7 linked regions of the Macaca fascicularis genome follow. The protein of the gene in region 6 binds, or shares a complex with, the protein of the main gene of each other region. Links are inferred from orthologs where the notes say so. Each region holds a gene or a part of one and is shown on either strand. Other genes may lie near its edges.

Evidence for each region.
Region 1: SMARCB1 (region 6) and SMARCD3 share a complex: the UniProt entries of both Homo sapiens proteins name them as parts of the BAF complex. The link is inferred for Macaca fascicularis from reciprocal best matches to the Homo sapiens genes SMARCB1 and SMARCD3.
Region 2: SMARCB1 (region 6) and ACTB share a complex: the UniProt entries of both Homo sapiens proteins name them as parts of the BAF complex. The link is inferred for Macaca fascicularis from reciprocal best matches to the Homo sapiens genes SMARCB1 and ACTB.
Region 3: SMARCB1 (region 6) and PHF10 share a complex: the UniProt entries of both Homo sapiens proteins name them as parts of the neural progenitors-specific chromatin remodeling complex. The link is inferred for Macaca fascicularis from reciprocal best matches to the Homo sapiens genes SMARCB1 and PHF10.
Region 4: SMARCB1 (region 6) and SMARCD1 share a complex: the UniProt entries of both Homo sapiens proteins name them as parts of the BAF complex. The link is inferred for Macaca fascicularis from reciprocal best matches to the Homo sapiens genes SMARCB1 and SMARCD1.
Region 5: SMARCB1 (region 6) and DPF3 share a complex: the UniProt entries of both Homo sapiens proteins name them as parts of the BAF complex. The link is inferred for Macaca fascicularis from reciprocal best matches to the Homo sapiens genes SMARCB1 and DPF3.
Region 7: SMARCB1 (region 6) and PBRM1 share a complex: the UniProt entries of both Homo sapiens proteins name them as parts of the SWI/SNF-B (PBAF) chromatin remodeling complex. The link is inferred for Macaca fascicularis from reciprocal best matches to the Homo sapiens genes SMARCB1 and PBRM1.

What each region holds. Positions count from the first base shown.
Region 1 is NC_088377.1:192,524,447-192,527,946, forward strand, and holds part of SMARCD3 (SWI/SNF-related matrix-associated actin-dependent regulator of chromatin subfamily D member 3), read right to left. Parts: intron 3,219-3,500; coding exon 3,007-3,218; intron 1,248-3,006; coding exon 1,205-1,247; intron 386-1,204; coding exon 263-385; intron 146-262; coding exon 23-145; coding exon of another isoform or gene 7-22; intron 1-6. UniProt on the Homo sapiens protein: Involved in transcriptional activation and repression of select genes by chromatin remodeling (alteration of DNA-nucleosome topology).
Region 2 is NC_088377.1:45,109,538-45,113,520, forward strand, and holds the start of ACTB (actin, cytoplasmic 1), read right to left. Parts: upstream 2,801-3,983; 5' UTR 2,723-2,800; intron 1,864-2,722; 5' UTR 1,858-1,863; coding exon 1,735-1,857; intron 1,601-1,734; coding exon 1,361-1,600; intron 917-1,360; coding exon 478-916; intron 384-477; coding exon 202-383; intron 86-201; coding exon 1-85. UniProt on the Homo sapiens protein: Actin is a highly conserved protein that polymerizes to produce filaments that form cross-linked networks in the cytoplasm of cells.
Region 3 is NC_088378.1:1,329,202-1,332,660, reverse strand, and holds the end of PHF10 (PHD finger protein 10), read right to left. Parts: intron 2,365-3,459; coding exon 2,256-2,364; intron 1,967-2,255; coding exon 1,778-1,966; intron 1,489-1,777; exon of another isoform or gene 695-1,488; coding exon 609-694; 3' UTR 501-608; downstream 1-500. UniProt on the Homo sapiens protein: Involved in transcription activity regulation by chromatin remodeling. Belongs to the neural progenitors-specific chromatin remodeling complex (npBAF complex) and is required for the proliferation of neural progenitors.
Region 4 is NC_088385.1:56,915,038-56,919,019, reverse strand, and holds the start of SMARCD1 (SWI/SNF-related matrix-associated actin-dependent regulator of chromatin subfamily D member 1), read right to left. Parts: upstream 2,801-3,982; 5' UTR 2,773-2,800; coding exon 2,596-2,772; intron 1,976-2,595; coding exon 1,788-1,975; intron 1,502-1,787; coding exon 1,459-1,501; intron 1,366-1,458; coding exon 1,243-1,365; intron 759-1,242; coding exon 636-758; intron 1-635. UniProt on the Homo sapiens protein: Involved in transcriptional activation and repression of select genes by chromatin remodeling (alteration of DNA-nucleosome topology).
Region 5 is NC_088381.1:140,763,275-140,767,550, forward strand, and holds the start of DPF3 (zinc finger protein DPF3), read right to left. Parts: upstream 2,801-4,276; 5' UTR 2,788-2,800; coding exon 2,756-2,787; intron 2,750-2,755; exon of another isoform or gene 2,576-2,749; coding exon of another isoform or gene 2,167-2,575; intron 2,117-2,166; coding exon of another isoform or gene 2,043-2,116; exon of another isoform or gene 1,918-2,042; intron 1-1,917. Other genes in the region: uncharacterized protein, read right to left, coding at 2,043-2,116, 2,167-2,575. UniProt on the Homo sapiens protein: Belongs to the neuron-specific chromatin remodeling complex (nBAF complex).
Region 6 is NC_088384.1:28,085,284-28,088,783, forward strand, and holds part of SMARCB1 (SWI/SNF-related matrix-associated actin-dependent regulator of chromatin subfamily B member 1), read left to right. Parts: intron 1-149; coding exon 150-287; intron 288-2,527; coding exon 2,528-2,655; intron 2,656-3,500.
Region 7 is NC_088376.1:115,641,265-115,644,764, forward strand, and holds part of PBRM1 (protein polybromo-1), read right to left. Parts: intron 2,367-3,500; coding exon 2,194-2,366; 3' UTR 1-2,193. UniProt on the Homo sapiens protein: Involved in transcriptional activation and repression of select genes by chromatin remodeling (alteration of DNA-nucleosome topology). Required for the stability of the SWI/SNF chromatin remodeling complex SWI/SNF-B (PBAF).

The sequences.
Region 1 (3,500 bases), on a different chromosome or scaffold from region 6:
AGAGACCTGGGCCGGGACGTACATCATCCAGGAGCTTCCCCTCCACCCGTAGCTCCCAGGAGGCAATGCTGCCATCGGAGTCCTCAGCGTCAGGCTTCGCAGGGTTAAAAGTGTTGGAGATATAGAGACGCAGCTTCCGCTTTTGCTGTAGAAATAGAGTGTAGAACCGGGCAAATGCTGTGTGCTTCCACCCTGACTACCTTGCTTCCCCATCCTGGTCACGCGACTCAAGAGTCCCCTTCCTACCCCCGAACTAAGGCACCTTCATGGGCCTCTTCAGAGCCTCCTGGATGTCCACCCGCTTCCGCATGATGGTTTGATCCAGTTTCCTCTCAAATGCCAAGAGGTCCATGTAAGCCTGGGACTCGGGGACCAGCTCCCGAATCTGGAGGAGGAGGAGCAGGGCAGGAGTCAGAGGCTCGAGTCCAGGGTTGTACCATGGAATGTATGCATGTTGTGCAATCCTAGGGTGCAAAAGATGTCGGGGGAGCCATCCTACTTCTGGGCATGGAGCTTTGACAGTGGGAACAGGACCTCTCCCCAGGATGCCATTATCCAGCAGTAGGGGCCTTGCTGTGTAGGGATAACAATTGCTTCTCCCTTTAGGAAGAGCCTTGTGTATCATCACGGGGAGGAGGTAGCAACTGTGGAACCCAGCAAAGCACTAGCCTTTAGTCTCCTCATCCTGTCATTTTCTATGTCATATGCCCACTGGGCTTCCCCTGGGCCCCTGCAAAGTGCCTAGTAGGGGCTCAATCCCTGGGACAGTTGGACAGCAGTGCTTTCTTCTTTGCTGGCACATTGCTCAGCCCCCACACCTGTCCCAACTGTGCTGTCCCCCATATCCAGCTGGACCTGGGTCCCTTTAGGATGCTCAGGATCTCTGGCCACCTTCTATCCCCTTCATTCTGCCTGGCAGCTTTTGATCCCCTAGCTCTTGCCCCCTTCTTGTCCCACAACTCTGTCTTAGTACCACTTGGATCCAGCCCCCTGACAGGCCCCTGTGTTCTGGCCCCAGTGGCTCTGCTGCTTCCCTCCACCTCACCCCCTCCCTCTGGCCTAGGGAGCCTCACTTATTAATGAGTTTTTTTAAACAAAAAGTGAAAGTGACTGTGACACTGAAGCTCTGCTTTTGAGGGGGGAGGGGAGGGCAGAGCAGCAAAGGGTAGGGGGTGGGCTGGGGGCTGCTGTGAAAGACACTCACCCTTTGAGGGAGGATTTTGTCAGCCATCTTCCTCCTCTTGGCACTGTACATTTTTTAAAGAAAAAACCAGGTTACCATGGCGACAGATCTGGGAGTAACGAGGCCACCTGCTAAATTATCCCGACATCTCCGCCCGCCTGGCTGGGGTTCCCACAGCCCGCTTGTCTGCCCGCCCAAGGGCTATGACGGTGGTGTGTGGAACTGGTGCTCTGTCCTCTCTAAGGACACAGGGGTGACCCGTCCATTCTCTGGCCTGGGAGCCCCCTTCTAACCTGCCACATCCTTAGGGACAGAGAAATTTAGACTTAGGAGGGACTGGCGAGTGGGGGTGGTGCTGCCAAAAGATGGGAGCTGCAGAAGTGTTTGAGGAAAGGTGGGGATGAGGGAGGACAAAGGAGAGGGAAGCCAGGTCTGAGGACCTTTTCTGGAAAGCAGGGGGTGCCCTGTCCAAAGGATTCTAAGCTCAGAGGGAGGGAGATAGACGACTTCCTTCCTATCCATGGAGCGGAGGTGATGGTGTGAAGCTGGCGGGACTTGCATCCCTTCCAGGCACCCTGGGCTTGCAAGAGAATGCTGATGAGCAGGGGTACTCATGCCCTGGGACTACCTGGCAACAAGGTGAGGGACATGCTGCAGCCATAGGCGCCCAGAATGTGCATGGGTGTGACTTCAGGCTGAGGCCAAATTGACTAGGCCCAGGGTAGTAGCAGCTGGATGTGAGCTCTTTCTGACCCACTAGCTGCTGCTGACTAACCCAAAAACCCCCAGAAAAACCTTGGCGGGTCAAGAGATGAAAACGCAGCCTAGAGAATAGCTCCATACTGCCCCCGTGTGGTGTTCTCAACCACTACCCCCTCCCTATGCAGAAATCTAAGGCTAACAAGCAGATTTCATTAAAGGTCTGGTTTGTTTTAGACAGATTATCTTTGTGTAACTCTCCATTTATACAAGATAAATCAGGGAATTACCGTTTGCTGTACAAAATGACGATGCACTTTACAAAATAATTCATCATGGGATTCCTATAAGTGGTGAATTTTCCCTGATGTGTAAAAAATACTTAATAATGAGGTAAAATTGATATTACACCTTTTATAGAAATCCATCTGTTGTGCAAAAAAAGCATGTGTATTTGGCTAAATACTGAAATCCAGAGGGGCACTGCTGTTGCCAGGAGCCAGCAGGGGCTTTGAGGGTGCCACCAGCTGCTGGAGGAAAATAAGGCAATGGGCTGGCCCTGGTGGCTTGGGAGCAGACCTGGTCCAGAGTGCCTAAGAATTAAGAGCGGAACTGGGCAGAGACCACCTACCACAGGGCAAATCCCCAAGCTCCACCCCCAGGGCCAGAGAGTCCCATTGAGAAAATCTGGAGTGGCTTTGAAACAGTCCGGGGTCTGGCAGGAAGGCTCAGCGGAGAACTACACTTTGGGCAACACAGTCCTACAGCTCTGCCCTCAGTCCCACTGGAAGCCCCGCCCCCAACCCAAAGACTTAAGCATCACCCAGAACCTGATGGGTGGAGAGAGGGACTGAGCAGGTGACAAGGAGAAGGGTGAGGGGAGCGTGCAGGGAAGCGGTACCGGCTGCCGACGGCCACAGCCTGTCTCTACCGTGGGCACACAAAAGAATCAGGCCGGTGCCCCCTAAGCCCACCTCCCCAGAGGGCATCCGATCCGGGAAGCCTCGCTCCCTGCTAATCATTCTTCCTCACCTCTTCCAATCCCCGCTACTCTCTCACCTGGTCCCTGCGGGTCCCCAGGGCCCGCCCCTGCACGCCCACTCCGCGCCGGGCCTCCCACTCACCTGCGGCTCCGCGCGGGGGCGGTGGGCACCGGCTGGCCCTGGCTCTGTGCCTGGCTCTGCCCGGGCGGGGGCGCTGCTCGCTTACGGGCGGGCTCCATGCCCGCGGGGGCCAGGCCGGGTCGCACGGCGGGGCTGCCCATGTAGGGGGAGCCCGGGGGGCCCATGGGCGCCCCCTGGTGGGGCATCCGGGCTCCAGACGGCATCCCGGGGCGCTGTGGGTGGGCGGGGGTGAAGCAGAAACGGGCGCCCGTGGGTCAGACCAGGGCCCCCAGCTCCAGGCGCGGTGAGCCGGCGTCTCCCCTCCCCCACCAGACCCTCGGCTGGTGACCCTGAGCGCTGAGCGATGGGTGGGAACGATGGGTAGGAGGGGCAGGGGCGCCGGAATACGCGCGGCTCTGGCGGAGGGGCTTGGCGTCTGGCTGTAGGAAGCTAACTGAAGCCAGGCACCGCACAGGGCATTGCGAGCCTCGGGGCTACGGAAGGTACCGCAAAAA
Region 2 (3,983 bases), on a different chromosome or scaffold from region 6:
TCCACATCTGCTGGAAGGTGGACAGCGAGGCCAGGATGGAGCCGCCGATCCACACAGAGTACTTGCGCTCAGGAGGAGCAATGATCTGAGGAAGGAAGGGAACAAACAGGCAGTGAGAACCCCGGATGTGACAGCTCCCCACACACCACAGGGCCCCACGGCCCACCTGCCCAGGTCAGCTCAGGGTGGAAGGACACCCACCTTGATCTTCATCGTGCTGGGCGCCAGGGCAGTAATCTCCTTCTGCATCCTGTCAGCAATGCCAGGGTACATGGTGGTGCCACCAGACAGCACTGTGTTGGCGTACAGGTCTTTACGGATGTCCACGTCACACTTCATGATGGAGTTGAAGGTAGTTTCGTGGATGCCACAGGACTCCATGCCTGAGGAAGAAATGAGGGCGGACTTAGCTTCCAAAGCACAGCCCCAAGGGTGACCCTCAGGTCAGGCAGGGCCGGGAGGCGGGTCTCCACTCACCCAGGAAGGAAGGTTGGAAGAGAGCCTCAGGGCAGCGGAACCGCTCGTTGCCAATGGTGATGACCTGGCCATCGGGCAGCTCGTAGCTCTTCTCCAGGGAGGAGCTGGAAGCCGCTGTGGCCATCTCCTGCTCGAAGTCTAGGGCGACATAGCACAGCTTCTCCTTAATGTCACGCACGATTTCCCGCTCGGCCGTGGTGGTGAAGCTGTAGCCGCGCTCAGTGAGGATCTTCATGAGGTAGTCAGTCAGGTCCCGGCCAGCCAGGTCCAGACGCAGGATGGCATGGGGGAGGGCATACCCCTCGTAGATGGGCACAGTGTGGGTGACCCCGTCACCGGAGTCCATCACGATGCCAGTGGTACGGCCAGAGGCGTACAGGGACAGCACAGCCTGGATGGCCACGTACATGGCTGGGGTGTTGAAGGTCTCAAACATGATCTGTAAGGAAGAAATGCACCATGTCATACTCAGGAAGCTACTGGGACAGCCAGGCCAGATGGGGGACATGCAGGAAGTGCAAAGAACACTGCTAAGTGTGCTGGGGTCTTGGGATGGGGATTCTGTTCAGACCTACTGTGCACCTACTGAATACACACTCCAAGGCCGCTTTACACCAGCCTCATGGGCTTGTCACACGAGCCAGTGTTAGTACCTACACCCACAGCACTGTCTGTTTTAGACACCTAGTCAGAGAGGCAAACACCAGAAAAAGAGCTCATCTGGGAAAAAGCAAATAGAACCTGCAGAGTTCCAAAGGAGACTCAGGTCAGAGAAGAGAGTCCTACGGAGAACGGCAGAAGAGAGAACCAGTGAGAAAGGGCGCAGCTCCGGGAGACCAGGAAAGAGGGCGGTGGCCACCACAAGAGGTAGCGGGCCACTTACCTGGGTCATCTTCTCGCGGTTGGCCTTGGGGTTCAGGGGGGCCTCGGTCAGCAGCACGGGGTGCTCCTCAGGAGCCACACGCAGCTCATTGTAGAAGGTGTGGTGCCAGATCTTCTCCATGTCGTCCCAGTTGGTGACGATGCCGTGCTCGATGGGGTACTTCAGGGTGAGAATGCCTCTCTTGCTCTGGGCCTCGTCGCCCACATATGAATCCTTCTGACCCATGCCCACCATCACGCCCTAGGAAAGAAAAAACAAGGCGCCCTAAGCACGGGCGCGGCCCCCACCCCAGAAACCGGGAGACCCCAGTGCAGAGAAAGCGCCCTCGCCTCCCGCCCGCTCCCGGGGCCGCCCCACCCACCCAGCTCCCCTACCTGGTGCCTGGGGCGCCCCACGATGGAGGGGAAGACGGCCCGGGGGGCATCGTCGCCCGCGAAGCCGGCCTTGCACATGCCGGAGCCATTGTCGACAACGAGCGCGGCGATATCATCATCCATGGCGAGCTGCGGGAAAGCCGGGCGCGCTGTGAGCCGAGGTGGCCCCCGCCCTGCCCACTTCCGGCGCGCCGAGGCCTTAGGCCGCCAGGGGGCGCAGGCGCGCGCCCAGATTGGGGACAAAGGAAGCCGGGCCGGCCGCGTTATTACCATAAAAGGCAAACACTGGTCGGAGGCGTCCCCACCGCGCGCGGCAGGAAGCCAGGCCCCCACCCCCTCCCAACCGGGAGCCGGCCCCGCCTCCGCTCCGTTCAAATAGCGCCGGGTCGGCGCGCGCGCGCGCGCGGCGGCCACACCCTCAGGCGGCCGGCGGCGCGGGCAGGAAGTGCGCGCAAGCGCCCTGGAGCCTCCGCGACCCCACCCCTTCCGGCGGGGCCAGCCCTTGCCCCAGCCCAGGCCGCGGCACCCGGGCCCCAGAACGCACGCGCAGTTAGCGCCTTGAGTCCCAGCGCGCACGCGCAACTAGCGCCGATTCCCAGCGCGCACGCAGAGTTAGCGCCCCAAGCCCCAGGACGCACGCGCAATGGCGCCCCAGCCCCCCACCGAGCCTGGCGGGGGGGCTCCGCCGCGCCCACCCTGCAGTTCCCACTGGCAAGAAGCCGGCTCGGACAAAGACCCCGCCGGCTGCCCCCATCCCGAGAGCAGCACCCCCAGAGCGCGCCTCCCGAGCAGGGCCCGCGCCTCCAAACTGGAGCGGGGTGTCCCCACATCTCTGGAGGCCCAGGGGCTTCTCCCGCGTCCCCCACTGCAGTCCAGTCCCCACATGCGACCCCCGCTGCGGCGCAGGCGGCTCTACACAGGCGAAGGGGCCGCGGCCTTAGGCAGCCGAGCCGGGAGCCGCCTACCAGGGTCGGCTGGCCGGGCTTACCTGGCGGCGGGTGTGAACGGGCGGCGGAGCGGCAAAGGCGAGGCTCTGTGCTCGCGGGGCGGACGCGGTCTCGGCGGTGGAGGCGCGTCGCGCCGCCGGGTTTTATAGGGCGCCGCCGCGGCCGCTCGAGCCATAAAAGGCAACTTTCGGAACGGCGCGCGCTGATTGGCCCCGCGCCGCTCACTCACCGGCCTCGCCGCACAGTGCAGCATTTTTTTACCCCCTCTCCCCTCCTTTTGCGAAAAAAAAAAAAGAGCGAGAGCGAGATTGAGGAAGAGGAGGAGGGAGAGTTTTGGCGTTGGCCGCCTTGGGGTGCTGGGCCCGGGGGTTGGGGGCGCGCGCGGTGGCCCCCGCACCCCACGCTGGGCAGTGCCCGGTTCGGCCCCGCATGGCCAGGCCTGTCCCCGGCCTGCCCGTCTCTCGGGCCCCCCACCCACCGCGGGACATTCTAGGTGTGGACGTCTCTTGGGCACTGAGCGCCCAGGTGGGGTGGGCCAGGGTCTGCACGGGTGCCAGGGTCCTGGGTGCTGTGCGCTCCTGCAGAAGGAGCCCTTGAAGGGCATGGAGTGGCCAGGCAGTCACTCCCCCTTGCCGACTTCAGAGCAACTGCCCTGAAAGCAGGTCTCGGGACCTCTGGCTATTATGGGGCTCAGCTAGCTAAATGGGCTGGGTGGGTCACTAGGGAGAGACTTGGGCTTGAGAGGTAGAGTGTGGTGTTGGGGGAGTCAGGGGGCTCGCGGCCACTTAGAAGTCGCAGGACCACACTGCCCAGGACAGGGCAGGCGCCAGCGGTCCAGTGGCTTGAGGTGGCCTGTGATGAAAGCTGCAAACCCACCCAGCCACGGCCCTGGGAAGGTGGGCTCTACGGGGCAGGGAAAGTTTCCCCAGGAGCTGCTGCTTCTGAGGGTAACGCGGTCACGCCCAGCCAAGACCAGGCCTGGGGCGTTAGTGGGTGACCCAGGCAGCTCCAGGCACTGCGGGGTGTGGGGGCTGGGTCTACACAGCCTGGGTCTGCGCCCACCGTTCATTGCATGTCTGCTATGCGCAGCCACAGCTGAACTGCCCTCCCAGACCATCTGGAGGCCGCGGGGGGACTCTGGGGACCAAGACACCATGTGCCAGAGAGGATTGGGGGCGGGGTGGGGTAGGAGCTCAAAGCCAGCCTGGGAAGACCCTCTCCTTGTCACCCTTTCTTGCCTCGGGTCTGTCCACTCAGTAGCACACAAGACCCGGGTGGCTAGGGTCGTTCTGCTCTGGGAAT
Region 3 (3,459 bases), on a different chromosome or scaffold from region 6:
GGTGTACGTTTTCAAGAGTTACTAAAATCAAGTTGGAAATGATTTATGTACACTTCCCTGAGCCTGGACTAAAGCCTCGTGCCTGTACCCCAAGTAGGGATGGTACTTTTCTATACAAAAGTGATTTCCTGGCAGGCAGGTATTTACAAACTGTGTTCCTGTACCAGTCCAATAATGACAACTCTAAATCCAGCTGCACCAAATCTTATTAGGCCATTTGTCATACCTATGAAAATTCTTTAGTTATTAAATAACTTTGTTAATGCTACCTATGGTAGGCCAGAAACAATGTAGATTAGGAAGTTTCATGAAAATTAACTTTTGGGGCTATGGAGAAATAGTTAAGTATCTTAAGTTGCTAAACATTTCCACTGAATTTTTGGAGTGAGCCAGGGTTACTATAAAATACTTGGGAAGATGATTTCTCTACCTGGAATTAGTTTGGAGGGTAAGAGTAGCTTTTAACAGAAATAAATCAACTGCAGATTTTAAGCTCATAATTTGCAAAAAAAAAATCTTTTATTGGCATAAAAATGAAAATGTTGTAAATAAATTGGCACCAAATATTCCACTTAAATGCATACACAGTATTAGAGTCAAAAACTATTTTATCCCTCTTTGCTGTTTTTCCCCCTTCTGCCCACTTTCCTGGGTGTTGGGGGGGCCCGCTGACAACAGTCACAAATCCAGCGACCTAGGAAAAAAATTGTTAATATGGAATGAAAAATTATCTTTACAGGACTGAATTTTAAGCCCATCTAAACTCTTCTTCCTTAGCTATCACTAATGATATTCCTCTGTGGATTTTGTGGTGAGAAGGGCACTATGAGTTCCTGAATTTAAGGAGAAAAATATAAACTTGTAATCAATGCCATGCAAAATTCATTGCAAGTCAAGGGGGATGGGAGAGATGCAATGCCATACAGTGATACAGACCTTTAAAAAAGTACAGTATTTCCTGAAATTCAAACACTATCATACTTCTAAAGTTCAATACATACTTCAAAAGTTCAAAACCCATTCTGGAATTTGGCTTTTTTAAGCCTTTTTCTCTCCTGCTCACTGGCAGCTGTGTGTCTTAACAGCATTCTTTCAAGTGCTGGTGTACTCTGCTGACAGCACTTTAAAACTTTTAAGTTTCTAACAGCACAATGATAAATTGTACTACATACTTGATCTGAATTACTACAGAAAAATAATTATGTTGCTTGCTTAATGATTCCCAGGAAACTTCGTTGTAGGCATATATTTTATAAGAGTATTATACAGTGTTAACTATGCAAGTAAGTTCTAAAATTACACAATTATCTGTGTAATGTTTTAGTCCAATTACTGTGATTTATTCAACTCTGTTCTAAAGTTACCTGGAATTGTCATGCTGCCTCAATTTACAGAAATCTGTAATCGATTTCTATAGAAATGTATAAAGACGTAGTCATTTTGTTAAGTTTCTAAATAGATAACATAAAAATAAAGGCTTTGAAACAAGATGATGCTGTTACTTAAGTATTTCAGTAGAAAAACACCAGCTCATTATATAGAACTGTACTTCCAAAACTTAGTCTGGGCATTCTGGCCTCTCATTTATCCTTTAGTTGGAATTGTCTGGGAATGAAAAGCTGGTGGACATGACCCATATAATCATAGCTTTGGTCATATTTGCACATAGGAGTCCACAAGCTCTGCATGTCATGATAACGTTTATGCAGCCTTTTGGAGTGCAGTGCTGGGAGAGTCTTATCACCCAAAGATAGTTTGTTCTTTTTTTAATCTTTACCTGATGGAATAGCACCAAGGCCCACACAAAAAGTATGATAACCTCTGTCACACACATCACAGAACATCATTTCTTCTTCATGGTGGGGTTGTCCACATATAATGCATGTTTTACATTCCATACACTGCCATGGGTAGGTCTTAATCATAGAAACAAGCTCCACTGTCATATCCAGGCAAGAAGGATGGCCTAAATCAAAACCAGTATTAGTAGTATCTCACATAAGAATTTTTAACTTAATATGGCACATAAAATGCTAGTTTGCTTTAGGACTTTCAGAGAATAGCTATAATGTCAAATCACCAAAGAGAAATGAAAATACAATGTAGAAGAAAACACATGGACTGTGTCTGCCTCACAATCTACCCTGTGTATTTATTTGATGACTCTGGTTGAAATCTACCTGAAACTATAAATTCTAGTTTTTGAACCAACAAATACAGTGGTTAAAATTTTAAAAAGACATTTCAATACTTACCACTATTCTCACATTGGGAGCAGTGTATAAGTGATTCAGCCTTTCCTTTCTTGTTGGACTCCTTACCCTTCAGACAAATTCCACATATAGCATTTGGAATGACCTTTGGCTGGAAGGGTAGAAGAGGGCTATAAATTCATGCCAGAAGAGCTTACTATGGGTTTAAAAGGAATTCTGTTACTTTATTGCCCTATTCTTACTTTTGATAACTTGCTAATGACCATTTTGAAAGACAAAACTTGACAGGAATCTGCCTGCAATGTAAGATTGCTTACTGAAGAAAGCATTAATTTCATCATAAAATTTTGTAAACAGCATGATCTCATAAGATTAAATGTAGAATTCTATACTCCCTACATGCACAGTAAGATCTGTTTAATGAATGGAAGGAAAGACGAAATACAATGCCAAATATCACTATTAATTGGACAAGAAAATCCAAGTAGCAAATGACCATTAATGTGAGACTTACTCTAAAGAGAAGACCATTTTAAACAGCTTATGTATTAATTTTAAAAACTGCTCTTTTCCAAAACTGTAAAACTAGATCTATAAAATATAAGTTAAAAAATCAGTTTATCTTCATTGGTATAGTGGTACTTTTTTAAAAATCAGTTTAAACATTTTTAATTGAAAGATGTCTCATGCATACATTGGCATGTACATAAATGTTTGTTGAAAACTTAGTTGTGTGATTATTCTCTTTGCATGTCTAATAAAAGAAGCTATACTTAGAAGCATTTACTATAAAATAACGTAAAATTATAAAAGGGAAAAGTAAGTTTTCAGACAAGCAAAAAAAAACTGTAGTCACTTAAAAAATACACAGACCCTCTGAGTACTACTCATCTTTCAGATTAAAAACATGCATGGTCCAGTGAAAGTGTTTGAATTTTAGACATATTTGGTAACCCATGGAAATGACAAAGGAAAAAGGGTTCACTGCACTTAAAATTACCAGGGGAGGGAAGGCATCCGAACGTCACGGCCTTGACTGTTATGAAATGACGTTCACTCATGCTATAGGAATAAGTAAATAACAGTGGTAAAAAAGTAAAAGCAAGCATGGGCCAAGAATGAAATGGGGTAAGGGGACATACATACACACACACGTACACACACACACGCACACACACATAGATGAACTGGGAAAATAATTATTTTAATTAGAATTGTTTCATTTCTGCTTCATTCCCACCCTGCC
Region 4 (3,982 bases), on a different chromosome or scaffold from region 6:
TATATAGAGAAGGAGGCTCTGACACTGAGCCCTGGTTCTCCTGCAAAAGTGCATTCCAATTAGCTTCCTGCGAGCAGCTAAAAATAGAGCAAGAGAATGTAAGGGAATGAGAGAAAGGTGAGCTTCCCCGAGGAGCTTCTGGGTTGGGAAGTTTGGGGGCTATCACCTGTCAGCTGATGCTCCCCAGGAAGCAACAAAGAGCCTGTCAAGAGAAATCTATCCTACTTAAACTATGGGGTGCCTCCAATGAAAGTTGAGAAGATGGAGATACCACAAGAACTCAGAGAGGAAACACGGCCTCAAATGAAGTGCAAACTCGACTAAAAACAAAACAAAACAAAAACTAAATAATCTACAGATACGGCTAAATCCAATGGCCAGCAGCACCAAGAGGAAGGTAAATCACAAATCAGATCCCAGGACAATAAGGTTCTCCACATGATACCAGTGAAGGCCAAAGGTGTGGGGGCAAACACAAAGGACCATTGTCTTTCAGTGCAGGGAACAGTGTCCCTCTCCCTACTGCTCCCAAAAGGAGCTGTGAGCACCAGTTAGGCTTCCTGCTGACCAGACAACACTGTTCATTCCCAGCAGCTCCCACCCTAGATGCCAACCACTGTGGACCTTGAACTCACATCCTCCAGGAGCCGTCCTTCTACCCGAAGCTCCCAGGAAGCCACCGTCCCTTCCCCATCCTCGGCATCTGACTTAGCCGGATTGAAAGTGTTAGAAATGAAAATTCGCAGCTTCCGTTTTTGCTGAGGAAGGCAGAAACAGGATTGATCGTGGGGCTTCAGTGGTCTAATGTTGAAGACAAGAGTCTCCCCAAACCCCAAAATTATTCCTAACAGACTGGCTTACTGTCTACCCAGTCCCTTGGGTGGGTGGATGAAGATTCCATTTAGAAGAGGAGTACTGGCCATCAGCCTAAGTACAAGTGCATACAGTGGGATGCCAGGTGGACAAAGTCACGCAAGGTGCCAGGTTCCCAAGGTAGCAGAGCAGTTACAGCAAAAACATGGACAAGGGTATATTTGTAGTGCAAGAGACATCAAGAGCCCCTCCCCCTTTGCCATTCTGTTCTTATCCTCCTAATGTAATTCTCAGTTTGTAGGCGGAAGGGAAAGATACAATTTAAATGCCAAGGAGAGTTGTGCTGTGCCTTTGATTTCTCATCCTAAGCCTGCTGAAGGTTCCTGGGTCCTCTCCTTTGGCTCTCTGCTTAGTAACTTCCTGTGTTACCTTGATGGGACGTTTCAAGGCCTCTTGGATATCTAGTCGTTTCCTCATGATAGTCTGGTCCAGTTTCCTTTCAAAAGCCAAGAGATCCATATAGGCCTGGGATTCTGGTACCAGTTCACGAATCTTAGGAACAGAAAAATTAATTGAAATCTAGGATGATTCATCTCTATACTCAAACCTACCACACTTTCCAGAAAACAGATAGCCTGGACTCACCCTTTGAGGTAGAATTTTGTCAGCCATCTTCTTTTTCTTTGCACTGTTGGGAATAAACACTATTATCAGGTTGGGACAGAACTAGTCAGAACGTGAAAATAAGCTGTCAGCATGTCCATTTATAGTAATGTGAAGGGATTGCAAAGCTGCTCTCAAAGAACTACCACCACCACCACCACCACCACCACCACCACCACCACCAAGCATTCTCAATCATCCTGTAGCACCATCTGCTGACACAGCACCACCACTTCTTGGTTCAGGTAATCCCACCACCTGTGTACTCCCAGGCTCCCTCCCTCCCTCCCTCTGCCCCAGGATCATCTTACTTGTGGTTTCGATTTTGGACAGCCTGCTGCTGGACCTGCTGGATCTGCTGAGGGGCAGGTCTCTTGCGGGACTGATCCATCCCTGACTGGGCCAGGCCAGGTCGGACTGAAGGGTTCCCCCCATAGCCAGGGGGTCCCATGGAAGGTCCCTGAGGTGTCATTCGGCTGCCTGGCAACATACCTGGTCTCTACAGAGGGGAGAGGACCCAGAGATGTCATGGTTTCACCTGCTAAACCCCACCAAGAAAGAAAAGCAGGGAACGCCTGAGTTCTTTGAATGAAGTAAGGTTTACGGATGGAATGGAGGACAATGAGACGAGAACCCTCTGCTCCAGCAGTGACTCCACAGAAAAATAAGAGTCCAAAAGCTAAGCGAGAGCCAGATTATACTCAAATTATCGGTCTATTTTGGATCGGACACATCGGACATCGCCAGTTCCACATTTACTCTGCTAGCTACTATCTCTTTAGAAGCTGACCTCAATTTGTCAGCTACACGTTCTGTGTTCCTTTGATCAATGGAGCTGCTCAAGCCCCTCTGCACTCCGGCCCTCGTATAGGTATCCCTGGACCCACTTCACCCACCCTGGTTCTCTACCGACTCCCCACGGAAACAATGCCCCTAGGAGCTGGTGTGGACACCAACTGCCTCCCCCTCTCTTCCTGCGCACTGCCTCCCCCAGCCCCCACCCAGAGCCCGAACCCCTCCCAAGGGAGTCCCTCCTACTTCTCCCCCCACCCCTGTCACTCCCACGTCCCCGCTCGGCCCCGCCCCCGGCCCGCGCGTCCCTCCTCCTGCCCCACTCACCGGATAGGCCGCTCCGGGCATCGGGGAGCGGTACAGCCCTTGACCCGGAGCCGGGCCCATTCGCACGGGAGGCCCCGGAGTTCCGCCCGGGCCCAGGGCAGCAGCCGCGCCCGCCCCTCCCGAGGCTCCGGCGCCGCCGCTCGGAGCCACAGACTGGAAACCCGCCCGGGCCGCCATCTTCCCGGAGCCGCCGATGCAGCTGCACAAAGAACCGGAACCGGAACTCCCCCCGCCCCCTGAGCGCCCCCCGAGCGCCCGCCTGTTCCCCCGGCCGGCTGGCCGGCACGGGAGGCTCAGGGCAGCGAGACTGTCGCCTAGAGAGGAGCGAGTAGCGGAAAAGGCGTGCTGGCCACGCCCTCCCGCCTTCACGGTCCTGGAGGGAAAACCATAGAGAAGAACTCTGGGATAGAGAGGCCCCGTGAGTGGGCGCCCCCAGGCCGACGGGAGGTAGACAAGGACCTGGAAAGGGGGACGGACCACAGCCTCAGCCCCAGTCTCAACCCCGACTCCAGCCCGCTGATGATGAGGTGCTTGGAGTAATAGCTTCATCTTGGCGCATGGCATTAACTTCCCAAAACGCTTTGATTGCTTTTCGTTTCATTTTCTTACTGCTATAACTATCAGGGGCTGAGGAGGGAAACACAGTTTATTCCATTTTCCAAATAGGAAAGCTGAACTCACAGGTGAACGACTTGGCAAAGGTCAACCAGCAAGTTAGTCATAAAGCCGAAGCCAAGATTCCAGGTCTTCTTGCTCATAGCCCAGGACTCATTCCACAGATAAAGTGCCTCAATAACTACCTCACGTGGGAACTTCAACCTAACTTTGTCTCCGACCTAACCTGCTTCCGGATTATTATTATTATTATTTTTTCGACATGAGGTCTGTCTTTGTCACAGTGGCACCATCTCAGCTCACTGCAACCTCCGCCTCCCAAGCTCAAGTGATCCTCCCACCTCAGCCTCCCGAGTAGCTGGGATCACAGGCATGCACCACCATGCCAGGCTGTTTTGTATTTTTGGTAGAGACAGGGTTTCACCATGTTGCCCATGTTGGTTTCAAACTCCTAAGCTCAAGTGGTCTGCGCGCCTCAGCCTCCCAAAATGCTGGGATTACAGGTGTGAGCCATTGTGCCTGGCCTCAGATTTTTTTTTAATATTAAAAAATAGGGATGGGGGTTTCATTATGTTGCGTAGGCTGGTCTCGAACTCCTGGCCTCAAGTGATCCGCCCGTCTCAGCCTCCCAAAGTGTTGGGATTACAGGCGTGAGCCACCGTGCCAGCCTGCTTCCAGATTTTATAATAAGTTCCAGTTTATCTTGAATTTTGACTCTGCTCTCTCTCTAAAGCATTGTTCGTGATGGGGATTCTGTTTTGGACCTTTGTTG
Region 5 (4,276 bases), on a different chromosome or scaffold from region 6:
TTTGTGTGACCATTTTCTGTAGGGGGCGTCCGTGGTGTTGGCTTTTTTTTTTTTTTTTTTTTTTTTTTTTTTTTTTTTGGAGGGAAGAGAGAGACTCAGAACGCACACAGAGAAAATGCTAATGTCATTCAGCTCTGTTTCATTGTCAGGAGGGACACATGAGGATAAAAACATAGCTCTCCAAACCATTCTCTCCGCTACCCCTCCTCCCTGCACCACCACCATCCCTTCGGCTGGATGTGTCTCTGCACTTTGTTCTAATTTATCCCATGCATAATTTATTCACGTTTGTATTGTTTCCTGATCAGCAACTTTTAAAAACAAATGAAATATATAAGATGTTTTATTAAACAAGTTGTTTAAAAAAAAAAAAAAAGGCAGATGGTGTCCGTCTCCCAATAACAACGTGTGTGCTCCTGCATTAGGAGTTAAAAACTGTCCAGGGTGTGAGAGGCTGGGCTGGTCAGGGGTATTGTTTACACCCCTTTACCCCCAGGGAAAGGGTCTGGGAAGCAGAAAGGAATGGCTAATTATAAATGACCACTCAACTCCCACCTAGAAAAAGCAAGCAGGGGCGTTGTGTGTATGCTAGTGTGTGCATGCGTGTGGCGGCACAATTACAAATACATCACATTGCAACTGTTTCTAATTATACAAAGTACAATTCAGAACTAATTCCCCTAACCAGCCGGGATTCCGCCACCTTCTTTCCCCCCCGTCTGTCCCTTCCCCCACCCTTAACCCCACCCTACACAGACTCCCTCCCCAAACGCGCACCCTACTGTGATCCAAAAAAACCCTGGAGCGAGCAGGGGAACACTGAAGCTTAGAGATACTGCGCCCGCCCGCGCGAAAGCGGGCTCCCGGGTAACTAGGGTACGGCTTTCCCAGTAGGAAACAAACCTGGTGCACATGTGAAATAGATTCTCTAACTTGAGTTTACCAGGTGGCATCAGCCTGGTTATGTGATTTCGGCTGGATATGGGGAAACTGCAAATCAGTTGTGGGTTCGGTAGAGACAGCATCAGCGGTGTTGCAGCGAAAGCAACCGGCAGCGAGGATGCGGCGAAGTTACGCCCATTTATTCTGCCATAAAACATTTTCTTTCTTGGATGAAACGCTGTGGCGTTCAAGTGCAGTGTATCCGAGCTTCCGAGGCAGAACTGAAGCCGGGAGCTCCTATCTGCTCAGCCTCAGCTTCCAACGTCCTCTTAACGGCAGCTTTCATATAAATATCTTTGAAACCTGGGGCATTCCTACCCGTTTCCCTATTTCTGGTGGGCGACGAGCTGGTGCAAACACGTCTGATTCTCCCTGTGCATTCCTTTGCGTTAGGAACCCCCCTACCGTCTCCGGGAGCGAACCTGGTTTTCAACTCCAGGAGTGGCGAGGGGTGAAGACGAGAATGCGCTGAATTAAAAGAAGCAGGGTCGACAGTGGCCACGCACCAGGGAGAATTCGGCACGAACCGCCCCCTACCCGGCCCGCACCTCCCTCTCCCCCTCTTTGCCTGCGGCTTCGTCCGGGCGGGGAAGTCCCGGTCGAAGGGGTGCGGACCCCCAGCCCACCTCGAATACGGAGGGAGCCACCCTCTGCCGACATCACCCAATAGCACCCCTTTCAGAGCGACACTAGTTTTCCGAGGCCACCCTTGGCTCCGCGATCGCGAGCGGACTTGGCGGCTTAACAGTTCCACCGACTGGAAGGAAGGAAGGAAGGAAGCCAGGATGAAAAGGAGGAGGAAGGCAGGCAGGCAGGCAGAAATTGGCTGTTGGACCCGGGGCTGGCCCCCGCGAGTGCTCGTCCGGCCCGCCCCACTCTGTCCAGGATCTGGACAAGCGCTCAAAGTCTCCCCGGGGCGGCCAGAGGCACCTGCCCCTCGCCCGGCCGGGAGCAGACGCTGCCCCCTCGGGCCAGGAGCCCCAAAACCGCCTCTCCGCCTGCCTCGGCGCCTCACCCAGAGGTGGCGAGAACACCATTCATAAGACCTGCGGCTTCCCTGCCTCCAAATCCACCCCAAGTTAACCCGAGTCGTTAATCCACTACAGCCAGGTTGCTCGCAAACACACGAGCAGACACACGCGCGGTCGCCCGGAGCGCCTCCGAGATCCGGGGGCTGCCGGGGAAAGCCCGGGGCGACCACCTGGGACCCAGCGCGCCCGGGACCCGCTGCTTCCCCCGCGGTGCTCCCAACTCCGGAAGGTTTGCACAAACTCCCCGCGAGCGATCGGAAGGCGAAGAGCGCCCTGCAAACTCCGGAGCCTCCGCGGTGCGTCCGCCGGACCCAGCAGACCCAGCGGCGGGGCGGGGGCCGCGGGCTTGGGGGTGCAGGGCTCGGCCAAGTGCACCGAGGCAGTCCCGGCCCGACGCTCGCCCCCCGCCCGGCCGCCCCCGGAGCCTCGCTCCCTGCCCGCGAGGCGGGGGACTCCAGGGACCGCGCTGTCCCCGAGCTCCCGCGACCCCCCTGCTGTAGAGCGCTCGAGCGCCGGGCTCCTCCGCCGGCAACCCCTATCTCTCGCTCTCTCTGCAATTTAGCAGAACACAAATGTAACAATTTTCTTCTTGTTAATTGCATCTCCTGACATTTCTGCGCGTTGGGGGAAAAAAAAGAAGTAAGAGCTGAAAGAAGAGAGAAGCCCCGCCGCGGCTGGAGGCGCCTGCAAGCGCAAGCACTGGCAGCGCTCGCCACGCAGAAGGCGCCTTTTTTTTCATATTGAAACCACGCGGAATATGTACATTTTTTAGTCTTACTTACGCTTTCAGGGGGTTGTGAATGACAGTCGCCATTTTGCTACAATGTAACAGAATATTGTCTGTCTCAGAGTTCTAAAGGTTCGCTCAGGGGAAGCGACAGGCCAATCAGAGCGCGGGATACCGGCCCGCCGGCCAATCGGCGCGGCTGGTCGCCAGGTGGGCGGGGCCTGCTCGGTGGTAGTTATTAGGGGAGCTGTCAAAGCCCAGAGGTCACTCCCTTTTGTAGAGCCCGAGAGCCAGCAGGTCTTAAAGGGGAAGTACCGCGTTGGCAGCTCCTTTTCGGGCTGGGGAAAGTGGAGACGCACGGGAGAATATTATAGTTTGGTTCAACTCCCTACTTTTCTAAATAACTGCAGAGTTTGCGCTCCTGGACAGAAATATTTCAATATTGCCAGCAAGCCACTGAATCCTATTCATTAGCTTTTGGCTTTGCATATCAACATTTTTAATCCCCCAAAGGGTAAATCCCCGTGTTTCAGTACAAAAGTTGGAAGGCTGCCGCTTCGTGTAACAAATTACTTCGTGTGCTTTGCCGTTTGCTAATGCTCTGGGTCCTGCTGCTTTTTAATATTCTTATTCCCGAAGTGTTCTCTTTATCTCCGCCACCTTCCTCTCTCGCTTCTTGGAACTGCCGCTGCTGTTCCTGGCGACTCCAGGACAGCAACTCACCCTCCCCCTGGAATGCCTCAATGTCAGGCTCACTCCCTCCTGCAGCCAGGGCTTTCTTTACGTAGTGCAGGGGGGTTACTCTGCGCGGTCCGCCGCTACCACCCCTTCTGTTCTGCTCCCTACACCAGAAACTTCCAAAATGCTCAGATTCCTGCTCGGTGGTGCGACCTGGAGCTCTGACCTTTAGGCTTAGAGGTAGGGAGGACTTGAGGCAACCTTTGGAAACTTTCTACTACTAGGAAGCAAGTGCCTAGGCAGAAGTCGTAGAGCCTGGACTGGGTGTTGTCAGAGTCCCTTTAGAGGAGTGGCACACGCGATTCTGACGTCACCTTTCACTACTTAGAAGGTGGAAAGAATTTGCTAGTGAATAATCCGATGTGACCCGAGGCGTCCAAAGAGTCTGTGTCTGCTTCAAGTCAGTGTGAACTCTTCACTGGCGAGCCCCTGACAAAATTGGGAGACTTCTGCGAAGTCAGGCTTCCACTGGGCACCGGGAAGCTCTGCGTGGATGAAACCGCATTAAATCGAGAATAGGGTAGGGGCCTCGTTAGCATACAGAAGTCTGGCTACCATTCCAAAGCTGTTTAATCAGGTCAAATAGCTAAGATAGTGGGGGAGGGGTGGCAAGGGGAGAGAAGTTGCCAAATTGCCAGTTCAAAGCTATGCCCTCTCGCTTCCTTTTGCTCCTCTCAAGACAATGAATAAAATAAAATAAACATTCCAGAATTTCAAGAGTTCAACTACATACGCTATTAGATTTACAGATAAACAGAAAGTGACTGAATAACTGTTTGTAATAGATTTGAAATCTTTAACTCCTCTCTGCCTATTTAATAAGCAGAATCAAGTTCTA
Region 6 (3,500 bases):
CTTCTGCAAAATCAGGTGCACAGACAACTCCCACGGGAGCCTCGAGCCTGACAGAGGTACAGTGGGCATCCCCTGAGCATGAGTTGATTCCTGGTGGGCAGGATCAGGCTCCTAGACTGACTGGGGGGACTTTTCTTGTATCTCCCCAGGGAACAGAAGGCCAAGAGGAACAGCCAGTGGGTACCCACCCTGCCCAACAGCTCCCACCACCTGGATGCCGTGCCATGCTCCACGACCATCAACAGGAACCGCATGGGCCGGGACAAGAAGAGAACCTTCCCCCTTTGGTGCGGATGTGTCGCTGTGCTCACCCTCTGCCCTGATTCTCCCTTAGTTCTCCAGCACATTTCAGTCCCCTCCTCCCCAGAAAAACACTGCTTTGACCTTGTGCTCCCCACAATGCTACAGTACCTCCTCCTCTTTGAACCACTGTGTTTCCCTGACCTCCAGGACATTGTCTGTAGCCTCTTTGGCTCTGTCTGCTGTCACCTTGCCGTGTCCTCCTCACCTCTCTGGCCCCTCAAGTGGAGTTACTCGGGGCACGGTCCATGTGCCCTTTCTCTGCCCTCAGTTTCACACGAGTGGGTCATAGCCAGTCTGACGGTTCACGTGCCATCCACGTGACTCCCACTGCGCCACCACTTCCCAGAGGCTGCTGGAATAAACCACCACAAACTGGTGGCTGCCAGCAGTGCACAGTTCTTCCCTCACAGTTCGGGGGCCCAGGAGCCCAGATTTGGTTTCACTGGACCAGATGCATGTGTAGACAGGGCTGTGCTCCCTCCAGAGGCCCTCGGGGCGATTCGGTCCTTGCTGCTTCCGGCTTTGGGGGCTGCCACATTCCTGGGCTTGTGGCTGCCTCACTTCAGTCTCGGCCTCTGTGGTCATGTGGCCTTCTCTGCGTGAAATCTCCCTGTCTGTCTCTTAGAAGGACACTTGGTGATGTAATTTAGGGCCCTTCTGGTTAACCTCTCAGGATCTTTCACTTAATCGCATCTGCAAAGTCTCCTTTTTTGGCCATATGAGGTGACAGTTATAGGTTTTGGGGATTAGGCTGTAGATGTCTTCGGGGTCTGTTTTTTACCTCTGCAGCCCAGACTTCCTCAGCTGCCCTCACCCCCTCAGCCTCATGCTGCCTGAAGACTTCTCCATCTCGGCGCATGGAGATCCAGCCGTCTCCTTGCTCAGGCTGTAGCTTTCTTTCCCAAGGCCTGCCTTTTCCTCACACAGCAAGTCCAGTCTCTCCAAGGTCCCACCCAGGACTGCCTTGGCCAGCCCCGCACTGCTCTCCCTGGGGTCTCTAGCAGCCCCTGCCTCCCCTCCCTGTTGCCTTCTCAGCTCTGCAGCTGGTGTGTCCTCTGCTCCAGGCATATCGTGTCACCTCTCCACGCAAAATCCTCCAGGCTCCCCATCACCCTCGGAGCAGAAGGAGGAGTTCTCACTGGGGTGCCAGGCCCAACCTGGCCTGGTGCTGCCACTGCCACACTCTGCCCCACTCACTCTGCCTCAGACCTGAGATCGCCCTCACTGCTGTCAGACCTCCCAGAGCTTCTGCCCAGCAGTTGCCTCTGCTAAGGTTTAGCCCGTTCTCCTTCCTCCCCTCTTTCCTTTCTTCTTTCTTTCCTTCCTTCTTTCTTTCCTTCCATCATTTCTCCTTCCCTCCTTCCCATCCTTCCCCCTCCTCCTTTTCCTTCTCTCTTCCTTCCCTCCATCTCCTCTTCCCATCCCTAGTTGACTGTCCCCTTCTCCCTTAGAGTGGCCACCCCTTTCCTCCAGCACCCCTACCCCTTTCCCTGTCTGTTTCCCAGCGCATTCATGCCTGGCACTCAGCTCGTTTCTCTCTCTCTTCCATCTGCCTCCCAAGATCGCTGGGGCCCTTCTCAGCCCTCTCCATGCTCCCAGACGCCCTTAGGTGTCCTCTGTCCTCCAGCTCCATCTCACCAACCTGCCTGCCCAACTCTTCCCTCTTTATCTTCCCAAAATACTCAACTCCATTGCTTGGAATCCTCCTGGGACTCCCTCAGGGCAGTGGCCAGTTTGCGTAGCCTGAGAGGAGAACTGTGGGTGCTTCGACACCCGCTAGCTTTGCAGCATCCCTGACCACTGCCCCCCATGGAATCTGTGCTCTGTGGTCTGTTTGTGCGTCCTCAGCAGTTCCTCCATTCACCTGCTTTGGCCTTACTGGAATATATCCTCTTCTAGAAATGCTATTCTGCTTGCCTACAGCCTTCTGTGAAAGTCCTGCCAAATTTCAGGCTTAAATATCCCTTCACAGGACATCTGGGTTTTGTTCCAGCACTGCCCGGGTCGATCCTATTGCAGACAGACTGGTGCTTGTCATTTATGGACCCACCTGTCCCCATTAGACCATGGCCCTGGGACCCCTGCTGCCTCAGCTGTTAGCTGATAAGTGACCATGTTCCCCAGATGGGTTTGCAGAGGCCTGCTGTGCAGAGAGGGAGGCTGAAAATTTGCATGCCTAGGGCCCTGGCACCCTCACTGACTGTTGCTTCCATTTCACTTTCAGCTTTGATGACCACGACCCAGCTGTGATCCACGAGAATGCATCTCAGCCTGAGGTGCTGGTCCCCATCCGGCTGGACATGGAGATCGATGGGCAGAAACTGCGAGACGCCTTCACCTGGAACATGAATGGTACAAGGCAGTCGGGCTTGGCTGGGCCTGGCCCCAGCCCCTGTGTGTTACGTGGGAACAGTCCCCTTTCCTACCAGCTGCCTGTCAGGCAGATTCTGGACCTGACATGCGGGACATCGGGGCATAGTTTTGGAGGGTGTGGGCTCTGGGTTCAGCCCTGGTTCTGTTGCTGTTCACTGTGGGTTGGGCATGTGAACTTTGGACTCCTTTCCCCATACTGAGGTTGGGGGGCCCAAGGGGCCTGGCATGGGAGGTGGCTGGTGTGCATAGCATGGATGATGATGACAATGCCACTTAGACCTAGTTCAGCCCCCGAGCCCTGCACACACCTGCCTTGGGTCCTGTCCACCACCCTGTTTCTGCTGTGTGAGGCTGCATGTGTGCCCTGTGCCTCTCTCCTCCCCTAACTGGTCATCTCTTTAGATATCCTCACTCTGTAAGTCCTGGGTCAGGTGCCATCTCTTCTGGCTCTTCCTGGGCTTCCAAAGCCTGAACAGAACTCAGTCTTTGTGCAGATGTAGACAGAAAGGTTAGAAGGGTATGCATCCCAAGTGTCTAGACTGCTTATCCCATCTGGGAGGGAGGATCATGCATGCATTTATTTTGCTATTTTTTTCTAAGTCTGTTAGAATGTATTTTTGTTATTTTATTTTATTATTACTGTTTTTTTAGATCTTGTTGAATACCAGGTTTTTTTGTTTTTTGTTTTTTAACTTAGTGTCTGTATCCTGCTGAATTTTTATAATGAACATACTCTTTATATTAAGACAAAATGCAGTGAATATCATCTTTATTTTATTTTACCTATTTTATTTTGTTTTTTTTTAAGAGACAGAGTCTCACTC
Region 7 (3,500 bases), on a different chromosome or scaffold from region 6:
CTCAAATCTTATATCCTAAATATTAATGGATATCTCCCAAGTTAATATACAGAAAAACATGATTCTAAAATAAATACATAGGCTTTTTTAAAAAAAAACTTAATTAGGGCCTGTCTAGTGGTGCCCTGGGCCAGTGCTGCACTGCTTTAGGGAAGCCCCTGGCTGGATCTATGTTTCCTATAGCACCTCTAGGCACTGGGAAGGAGCCTGGAGGAGAGCTCTGGCTTCTAATGATCCACTTGACCCCCAGTGAAGAGTTTTTTTTAGAGGCTCCCCAAAGAAGTCTCATCCAGACTTTAAGGGAAATAAAATGAATGCATGAAATAAATAAATAATTTAACCACAACTAAATTTCATGTTCTTTGGTGTAATTCAAGGATGTCTAGAAACAAAAGAATCTGATTGCATTATACAGTCCATGATGATTCAGTTGCCCAAATAACCAGGAATTGAAGATTTATCTGACTCACTTTAACAATAAGGTATTGACACACTACTGCAATACATTTTTTTTAAATTCAATATTATTTAAAATACTTGATGCAAATTGAATCCAGTGGTTGACTAAAGGCAATTAAGTTAAAGGGCCTCCTGTATTTAAAGTATCTAGATACAAGAGACTTTTTTCCATTCTACACTCTTTTGCCCTCATGATTTAATAAGTACAGTAATTAAACAACTGAGTACTGATTCATAGCAGATTAAAAGGAAAAAAGCATCCTCTGAGAGTGACTCTCTCAGCTTATAAACATCAGTGGAAGCTCTACCACAATGGCAATCACCCAGTTACTATAACGCAGGTTTCAAAAACATGCCGCCAAGTGAAATAATGTTCCTACTGTCTGCCATCCTATGCTGCCTTCAAATGTTTATTATAGGGTCATATAAGAAAGACAGGGTCACCAAACCCAAGTGTTTGGCATCTGTAATGGTCTTTCTAGTGAGCATTTTATTAAATTATGATTCCCTTCTCCTGTCATTCAAAAGCACAAGCTAAATTTAAAAAATATTTTAGAAAGTATTAAATTTCTGGTTGAGAACTACAACAACATTGAAACTTAAAAGAAAAAAATACATCTGATAATGAGGAAATCAAGAATACTAAAACATACTTGTAAAAAATAAAGTAGAAGGCAATCAATCTACTCGTTCACAATTATGCTTCTTACATAGCTCATATCTAGTTACACACTCTCTTCCCCATGTTAGGTTAGGTGTTATGTTTAAAAATAAATCACCTCCATGCATACCTTAATGCTTTCTTCAAGATGAACTTCAATGTTTTTCAATGTAACAGGTTTAAAATGTTAAATCATCTGAAATTTATAGGCATAAATTGTGAATTCATTATAAATAGATCAAAATACCCTTAAACGTACCTGCCTAGACTAAACATACCTCAGGGTTGTGCACTTGTTCTGCAAAAATTACTGACACCATAGTCTAATTCACAGATGTCTAACTCAGCACAATCGAAAAAGTGCTTTTTCCCCTCCTGGTGTCCAGGAGGTACATTAGCTGCAGACAGATGCACAGCACTGATTACATATTTCTGTAGTGAGCCTCTGAGTTAATAGAGCAAATGTGCCGTGTCTATTAAACATCTAAAACCTAAATAACCACCTTTCAAAGAAAGCACTTCATCTGTAAGAAACAGCTTTTGCAGAAAGTGGCTTAAGATATTCAGGCACATGAAACAAACACAAGTATACTCCCCTCTCTAAGATGTAAACTAGGACAAACTTCACATTTCATTATCAATTTAAACTAATCTGTAAACTCTTGTGTGTGTGTTTTTTTTTCATTTTGTTCTTTTATATATATAAAAAAAACCCCAAACCAAAAAAAACAAAAACCCCAAGCCAAGACAAAACCTCTAATGGTTTCAGTTCCATGGCAACAAGTAAAAAGATAAAACTCCAAGTCTACATATACAACCAATTATGAAACTGGTTTTAAACGAAGGAAACATATGCAAAAAAATCTTTGTGTATTTGATAAAGTCAACTTAATATAACAAACAAATTGAAATAGCTTATTAAAAGTGTCCTTATATAAAAATGGCCTTGTGATGTACAGTAAAATGCAATAAAAATTATCCTCCTTTGTTCCTTCCCCCCACCCCCAGTAACTAAAATGGCTACTGTTCCACAACTCTTTATGCTTCTATATAAAAGAAACGTAATGATGTGATTAAACATTTTCTAGGTTGTATGCTTGGCGAATGTTGAGGGTGTCCCGGAGCATCAAATCTCGAAGGCGCCAGAGGGCATCTGCCATGGTGGTGTGGGCCCCTTTGCTTTTCAGCCAGTGAGAGGGTAGGCGGCTCTCCTGTTCTTTTGACAAATGGACGTCGCGTCTTCGAGCTGAAAATTAAAGTACAGAGAGACAGAAATTGGAATTGGAAGTTGGCAAAATTTCCCTCAATTCTAAGATCTGACAGACTTATTAAAACACAAAATATTGAATATTTATCAAATATTATGAATTTTAACTGCAGAATATTTCCAGGCACATTTCTTGTATCATTTTACTAGGCACTAAAAAATTTGATCATACATTTATTTATTTATTTTTTTTGAGATAGGGTCTCACTCTGTTGCCTTGGCTGGAGTGCAGTGGTGTGATCTCAGCTCACTGCAACCTCTACCTCCTGGGTTCAAGCGATTCTTCTGCCTCAGGCTCTAGAGTAGCTGGGATTACAGGAATCTGCCACCATGCCTGGCTGATTTTTGTATTTTTAGTAGAGACAGGGTTTCACCATGTTGGCCAGGCTGGTCTCAAACTTCTGACCTCAGGTGATCCACGCACCTTGGCCTCCCAAAGTGCTGGGATTACAGGTGTGAGCCACCGTGCCCAGCCTGATCATTATTTTTTTGTAGGCATCCCTTATATTTAATAATTACTTCAATGTTAACGAAAATTCCTAAAAAGGTAAACGTGAAGAAAGGGAAAACATACCTTCTACTCAAAAGAAATGAAATGAAATGAAATGCCCAAAGTTGGTTTAGAAATCAAGAACAATAGAAACTTCCAAACTTCTCTCCAGAAACTACACAAGTACTTCAGTACATACTGAAAATACACAAGTATGCTGAACTAAATGAATAACCTAAAAGGTTTCTAATATTTTTTTTTTCCTTTTGCTAAACTGAGGTAAAATAGTTTTTTTTTCTTTTTTTTCTTTTTTTTTTCTTTTTTTTTTTTTTTTTAAGACAAGAGTCTTATTCTGTCCCTCAGGCTGGAGTGCAGTGGTGTGATCTTGGCTCACTGCAACCTCCACCTTCCGGGTTGGGTTCAAGTGATTCTTGTGCCTCAGCCTCCTAAGTAGCTGGGATTACAGGCGCCAGACACCACGCCCAGCTAATTTTTGCATTTTTAGTAGAGATGGGATTTCACCATGTTGGCCAGGCTGGTCTTGATCTCCTGACCTCAAGTGATCCACCCGCCTCAGCCTCCTAAAGTGCTGGGATTACAGGAGTGAGCCACCGCTCCTGGCC